Linked DNA regions of Mus musculus. The main gene of each other region encodes a partner of the protein of the gene in region 2 in a complex. Links are inferred from orthologs where the notes say so. Each region holds a gene or a part of one and is shown on either strand. Other genes may lie near its edges.

The links. The genes of interacting proteins can lie anywhere in the genome.
Region 1: the proteins of Irak2 (region 2) and Irak4 are in contact, whole or in part, in a crystal structure (PDB 3MOP), measured with the Homo sapiens proteins. The link is inferred for Mus musculus from reciprocal best matches to the Homo sapiens genes IRAK2 and IRAK4. Residues at the interface, in NP_001561.3 of Homo sapiens: Tyr6, Ile36, Lys44, Met48, Glu59, Trp62, Trp63, Trp64, Gly65, Met66, Arg67, Gln68, Ala69, Gln73; in NP_001107654.1 of Homo sapiens: Asp24, Phe25, Pro28, Gln29, Lys34, Glu92, Phe93, Phe94, Ala95, Pro96, Ser98, Val105.

The regions. Positions count from the first base shown.
Region 1 is NC_000081.6:94,542,547-94,546,292, reverse strand, and holds the start of Irak4 (interleukin-1 receptor-associated kinase 4), read right to left. Parts: upstream 2,634-3,746; 5' UTR 2,467-2,633; intron 1-2,466.
Region 2 is NC_000072.6:113,637,193-113,640,938, forward strand, and holds the start of Irak2 (interleukin-1 receptor-associated kinase-like 2), read left to right. Parts: upstream 1-1,274; 5' UTR 1,275-1,355; coding exon 1,356-1,449; intron 1,450-3,746. UniProt on the Homo sapiens protein: Binds to the IL-1 type I receptor following IL-1 engagement, triggering intracellular signaling cascades leading to transcriptional up-regulation and mRNA stabilization.

The sequences.
Region 1 (3,746 bases), on a different chromosome or scaffold from region 2:
GTCATGTGATTAGTTGCTTGTTTACCACCCTTCTCTGCCATTAGACTTTAAGCTCCGCAAGTTAAGGACCAAACTCATTTTATTCATTAATGTGACTTATACATTGTAGATACTGGTGTTGTATGGTATGGTTTGGATGTGAAACATCTCCCTAAAGCTCTTCTTTGGAAGGCTTTGTCACTATTATAGTAGTGTTGGGGGCGGAGACGGGGGAGAAGACGTCATGTTTGGATCATGAAGGCTTTCCTGTTATCTACCAATGTATTCATCCATGGATGGAGTCTTAACTTCATGGGGTATTGGGAATCAGTGGTAACTTTAGGAGGTGAGACCCACCTAGATGGAAAGGCTGATTAGGGGTATGCCTTGAAGGATGTGACCCTGTTCTCCCTCTCATCCCTTCTTCCTTCCCTCTTTCTCTCTACCCCTCTCTCCATAGCATGAGGTGAGCAGATTGGTCCCACTGTGTGCTCCCTGCCTCCTAATGCTCCCCTCAAGGCTGTACAGTTATCACCTCCTGACTTATGCTCTGGATCTCTTCTATCTGCTATGCTTTATTGTGGCTCCTGGGATAGATCATCCTTTGAGGCACCCTAAGGTCCCTTCTACATCGCTCATTTTGTCACCTTGAAGCAGTTGAATCAGTGAAACCCTAAGCACTGGAGAGCAGCCTAGATGACTTCGGGGGAAGACCATTGGGCCATCCATCAGCTTGGATGACCTCTGACCTCTGGGGGAGACCAATGGATCATCAGCTGGATGACCTCTGACCTCTTGGGGAGACCAATGGGCCATCCAGCCCAACCCTCTTTACCTTTCTAGACCTTGTTTCCAGGACTCAGAACTAAAGCAGCTGGGCTGACGCCATCTCTGTGTCCGTTAACCTCTCTGTCCCATCAGAGCTCAGAAAAACTTACACGTCAAAGCCGCTTAACACCTTTCGGGACCAGCTCAATTCCTTGGCTGCTACAGTGCTCTGAAAGACTAGACCTGACTGCTAGGGGTGACCTTTGTGCCCTCTCCTCTGTGAACAATGCTTGTGGATTGAGATGGGGCCCAAAGACACAGGGAACAGACCAAAAAAAAAAAAATGCAAAGTAAAACAAACAACAACAATAACAACAAAGTACAAAAAACAAAACAAAAAAAAAAAACAAAAAAACCCCACAAAAACAAAAAGCCCAGCAAGCTTCCTCCTATATAAGAATTTTTGGTTTCTTCCCACTCTGGCCCCTCCCCCTGGTCACTTCTTCCTTATACTTTTACGCAGTCTGAACTTCCCCCATACCCAAACAACCATGTTCTACACTAGCTGTCCCAATGCCTCTCACCCTACAGCAGCCCCGTTTGTTCCTGATGCATCTGCCAAAAGACCTTTGAGATGCCGAGAGATGTCCACAATTTCTAAACACTGACATACTTCAGTGGCCACTAAAACGCTTTGGGTATACTAAAATGTATAATGTCATCCATTCACCAAGACATGTCCTATCTGTGACAGATATTAATCCAGGTGCCTGAAAAATAAAACGTTAGGAAGAATAGGGAGAAAAGGGAGGCAAGAACACAGGGGAGTTTTATTCTAATGATGGAAGAAGGTAGCAAGCTGAGAATGCATTTGGCAGTCTGTTAAACGCTGCCTGCGGTGGTTTGAACAGGAGGGGATTCCATCGTCCCTCATTTGAGTACTTGGTTCCCAGTTGGTGACTTGTCTCAGTTAGGGTTTCCATTGCTGTGAAGAGACACCATGACCAAGGCAATTCTTATAAAGGACAGCATTCAATTGGGGCTGGCTTACAGGCTCAGCGGTTCAGTCCGTTGTTGTCTGCAGTGCAGTCAACAGAAGTCTGTGCTACTGTAGAGTGCGAATTCATCTCCTAAGTTGTTTTGTTTGTTTGTTTTTTGTTTGTTTCTGTTTGAACAGGGAACACAACAAAGACAAGACTGGGAGGCCCAAGTTTGGCCGGAGTGATCAGATCAGTCTTGAAACATGTAGGAAGCAAAAATGTTTAGCATGAAAATAGGAGAATTAAAAAAAAAAACCCTGAGCTCTTTGGCATACATCTTGAAGAATTACTCCCAGAAACGGAAAAATCGATTTTTTTTTTTTTTTAAATTTCCTGCTTTGGGGCCACTGTGTCCATTCCGAAAGCTAATGGTGCTTTCTTGCTCTCTTGGGAATGCTTTTCCTGCCCCTCTCTTGCTTCCAATCTGTCTTGCGCTTACCTCTCCCTCTACCTGTTGGACTGTCTGACTACAGCTAGCTTCCTATGCTCCCCATAGCGAGCAAGCGAGACACTCCGGCGGCAGAGCAGCGCACAGAGGCTGCGGGGCTCCCCAAGCCTCCTCTGCCCGAGTGCGCCCATTTCCTGGTTCTGGAGCGAAGCGACTGATCACCAACCCGGCCCGGGACAGAGGACAGCGGAGAGATCGTGGCTTGAGATCAGCCTTCCTCATACAACCTACTTCCTCTCGGACGTCCCTCGCTTCCTGGACAAGGCGATCGGCGTCCCGCCACGGTCCGGCGAGGACTCGGGGGTGGAGGACGCAGGACCACCAGGCGACTTCAGACTGCCTGCGATCGGGATGCTGCGGGTCACCGGGGCATCATATCCCCCTGTGGGACAGGGAGGGCAGGTCAGCTAAGGGTGAGAGTATAGGGGCGGAGCCAATCCGGAAGGCCACGCCTTTCCCTCCCCGAGCTCCACCCAGGGAAGAGCTACACCAACCGGAGCCTGTCCCTTTAAATGTCCCTGTAAGAGGCTAGGCGGCGGAAAGGCTTCTGGGCATGCGCACTGTGTCACTCGGCGGACCACTTTCTCACGGAAGCGAGGTAGAGCTCACAGAGTCTATTAGGATGCCGGGTCACCGGTGGATCCAAGACTGCTGGACCGGGGAGGGAGGCGTGGTGGCGGCGCCCAGGGAGCGGGGTGGGGTTGGGGTGGGAGTCCCTCTGCAGCCTCGGCTCGCCCCGCGGAGCGGAGGAGGAGCTCTTGCCACCCTCGCCCCCACGTGCCCTGTCTGCCCGCCTCTTGACTAGCTGCTTGACTGCCATGCCTTCGTGCTGCACTGTCCCCACGTGTAGCCTGGAAAGCCGTCCTATGGTCTTTCTTTTCCAACAATCCCTAGGGTTCCGAGGACCCCTGTGGACTTGGTCAGAGCTGACTGCTGATTTCCATCTGCCATTAGAAACAACTCCACGGGGGCAGATGCCAACCTTTGACAGGGTGTTCACTATCTTTCCTTGTCAGCATTACTTCAGCTGTATTCTCCCTATCCCCTCTGCTCTGTGTCAGGGCTTCCCCCTTCCCCCCCCCCCCCCCAGTGCCCGTCTTGATTGTACTTGCACGTGGTATTTCTACCCCGCTTCTGTCTCTTGAACTATTTCCAAAGTCAAGTAGCAGTTTATTATATACCATTCCTGATTATCATAGACAAAAGTTAACACTTCTTTCTTTCTTGTCACCATTAACGCTCTTACTGTGTTCTACTTGTATCTGTTCAACTAGTATCTACTGCAGACCTACTATGTCCTTGGTGCTGTTCTGAATATGGGCTAGTCAGAATTCTGGCTCATGTGGAACTGACACTTTAAGTTGAAGAAGATGGACAGTAAATAATGAACACATTAGCTAGTCATGCTATACAGGAAATTAAATCAGTTTTTTTCTTTGTGTGTGTGTGAAAGAAAAGAAAACAGGTTCCTAAAGCTTATAGATGAATCCTATAGATTAGATTATTGGTGG
Region 2 (3,746 bases):
TTTTTAAATTTATTTTACTTTGTGTGTACAAGTGTTTTGACTGCATGTATGTCTATACACCATGTGCATGCCTGGTCCCCAAGGACGTCAGAAGGTATCGGATCCCTTGGAACTAGAGATAGGGATTCTTGTGAGCTGCCACGTTGGTGTTAGGAACTGCTTTTCCAAAAGTAGTAAGGGCTCTCAACCACTGAACCACTTCTCCACCCCACCTCCTCAAATAGGAACTTTTTTTAAAAAAAAGATTTATTTATTTATTATATACAAGTACACTGTAGCTGTCTTCAGACACCCCAGAAGAGGGCATCAGATCTCATTACAGATGGTTGTGAGCCATGTGGTTGCTGGGATTTGAACTCAGGACTTCTGGAAGCACAGTGCTCTTAAATGCTGAGCCATCTCTCCAGCCCGAAATATGAATTTTTTTATTGACATGAAAACTATTTGTTATTGCCTTTTATTATTGTTTTTTTTTTTTTTCCGAGATAGGTTTCTCTGTGTAGCCCTGGCTGTTCTGGAACTCATTCTGTAGACCAGGCTGGCCACCAACTCAGAGATCCTACTGCCTCTGCCTCCTGAATGCTAGGATTAAATATGTTCACCACCAACTGCGAGTTTACTTTTTTTTTTTTTTTTTTTTGATTTTTCGAGACAGGGTTTGTCTATGTAGCCCTGGCTGTCCTAGAACTCACTTTGTAGACCAGGCTGGCCTCGAACTCAGAAATCCGCCTGCCTCTGCCTTCCGAGTGTTGGGATTAAAGGCGTGCGCCACCACGCCCGGCGCGAGTTTACTTTTTAATTTAAAAAAGTCTCACTTTGTAGTCCCTTTGGCCTGCCTTGGAACTCAGTGTGTGTGCAACCAGACTGGCTTCGAACTTGTGACTGTCCTCCAGCCTAAGAGCTGAGGTTACAGGTGTGTCACCTACCCAGATCACTTTTAAATTGTTCAGCACAAGGTTTGATTCGTTCCTTCTGTCCACACTGAAGGCAAAATCTCTTGGTTTTCTCCGCTTAAGTCTCTCCAGTACCTGTTATATGAGCGCATTTTAGGAGGCTGTGGAGGTCAAGTTAGCCAGCCTCAGGGAGTGCTTTGGAACTCTGGATTGTAGGATGCCTTTCCCAGGCCCTTGGTCTACTCCTGACACTGGTCCAGGGGTCGGGTGGCATGTGCTACTGAATGCCACTGGGAGGCGCTCGCTTGCCCGCTCTCGGCCATAGCTTGGGTGGAGCGTGACACCGCGCTTGGCCGCTCGGGGGAGCTTGCTCGCTTACCCAGTGGGGCCGCGGGCAGCGCCGCCCTTTACTAGGGAAGTCGCGGCCCTCCGCCACAGGCTCAGTCGCCAGGCAGTCTCGCCATGGCTTGCTACATCTACCAGCTGCCGTCCTGGGTGCTGGACGACCTGTGCCGCAATATCGACACGCTCAGTGAGTGGGACTGGATGCAGTTCGGTGAGTGACACTACTTACTCTGAGCCAGGACCCGAGATAGACAGACAGATCCACGCCCCCCCACCCCCACCCCGCCCCGTGTTACCTGAGGCCGGGGATTCCTGTGTAGAACGCTGCTGCTTTGCTTTACTTTGCAGAACGAGCTGGAGCTGCCTATGAAGTTGCTTATAGCCTAGGGTGGTCTGCTCACTATGTAGCTTCTTGGCGAGTTTTGGCTGTCTGTATGCTTGTAGAGCTGTTACCAGGGCTGTGATCTACCTTGCAGCCTGTGGTATCTGGGGCCACCCTCCTAACTTCCCTGAAACTTGCCTTAATCTATAAACTGCAGCTGACAAGGGTAGATTCTTTATACAGTTGTAAAAATAAAATAGTGTCAACCGGGCAGTGGTGGCGCACGACTTTAATCCCAGCACTTGGGAAGCAGAGACAGGTGGATTTCTGAGTTCGAGGCCAGCCTGGTCTACAGAGTGAGTTCCAGGACAGCCAGGGCTAAACAGAGAAACCCTGTCTCAAAAGACCAAAATAAATAAATAAATAAAATAAAATAAAATAAAATAGTGTCAAAGAATGTACCTTCCCTACCTTAGTGTCGTCATTCTGTGGCATATTTTCCATTCTTATTATTTTGAGACAGGGTCACCCAGTGTAGCCCTGGTACTTGCTTTGTAGATCAGGCTGGCCTGGAACTAACAGAGCTCTACCTGCCTCTCCTGCTGGAATACTGAGTTAAAGGTGTAGTCCACCATTCCTGGCTAGTCATTTATTTTTCTGCAGTGAGGGAACTTTGATCCTAGGGCCTCGTGCCTGTTAGAAAAGTCACACTACCACTGAGCCATAGTCCAGGTGACGTTCTTGGACTTTTGAGACCTGTTTTTCGTTTGTTTGTTTGTTTGTTGTTGTGTTTTTTAATGTAGCCCATGTTGCCTTGGAATTTGTCATTGTCCTGTCTCAGCCTCCTAAGTGTGGGATTATAAATTTGAATCTCTTGTATTTGTGGGGTAGGGGGTGGGGTGGGAAGGAATAAGGGGCTCATGTAGCTCAGGCTAGCCTTGGATGCCCTGGAACTTCTGACCCTCTCACTTCCATTTTGGAATACTGGGATTGCAGGCTCAGCTTATGTGGTGCTGGAGATGGAACCCAGGAAAGCACTATACACTAAGTGTGGAATAGCCCCGCTACCTTATTCCTGTAGGTCAAACGCACATAGGAACAGTGGGTAAAGGCAGTGTAACTGTTGCCACTTAATCTCCTTTTGTTTTTTCAAGACAGGGTTTCTTTGTGTAGCCCTAGCTGTCCTACTCCCTCTGTAGACCAGGCTGGCCTCAAACTCAGAGATCCACCTGCCTCGGCTTCCCAAGAGCTGGGATTAAAGGTGTGCGCCACCACTGCCTGGCAATGATTTATGTGTGTGTGTTTATGAATTTTACTTGATTATATTTTTGTCGTGCTTGGAATTGAGTCCAAGGCCTTGTGCCTGTCAGGCAAGCATTTTGCCAGTGAGCTATATAACTTCTTAAATGAAATTATGTGTGTGTGTGTTCCATTGTTGTTGTTGTTGTAATACAGGATCTCATGTAGTCCAGGCTGGCCTAGAACTCATTACCTAGCTAAGAATGACCTTGAATTTCTGGTCTTCCTAGTGACCTCTCTCGAGTTGCTGGGATTATGTGTCACCATGCCTGACTTCAGTAATATATTGTTTAATTAAGATGTTTACGATACTGGAGGCTGGCAAGATTGCTCAATGGGTGGAGGCACTGAATATCAAGCCCGTGGACCCGTGTTTTATCCCTGGAACCCTTGTAAAGCTAGAAGGGGAGAGCCCACTCCACACAGTTGCCCCGTGACCCTACCCAGGCGCACTTACTACAATGAGTATCTATTACACAGCTATACTTGATACATAAAGTGGACATGTCTTGTGTTGTCCTGCCAGTTTGGATATATATTATGCATGCGAGGAATCGGATGTTCCTCAGCGGCAAAGCACTCAATTAGCGTGTGTTCCTGGGTTCCACCCCCAGCCCTGTGAATGAAAAGAAAACAAGAAAGGAAAAATAAGTATTTTAAGGTTATGGTTCTCATTCTGGGATTTTTTTTTTTTCTGTCAGTGGCAGTTGCCAATGTCCAGAGACATCTCTAGTTGTCACACCTTGATAGATGCAGAGGCTGAACACCCAACAGGACAGCCCCTCAGCACAAAGCACAGAGCACAGCAGCCCCCAAGGCTCAGCGGGGGGGGGGGGGGGGGAGGTCAGGGAGCCTCTTTACCCAGGAAGAAAAGGAGTTGATGTGCA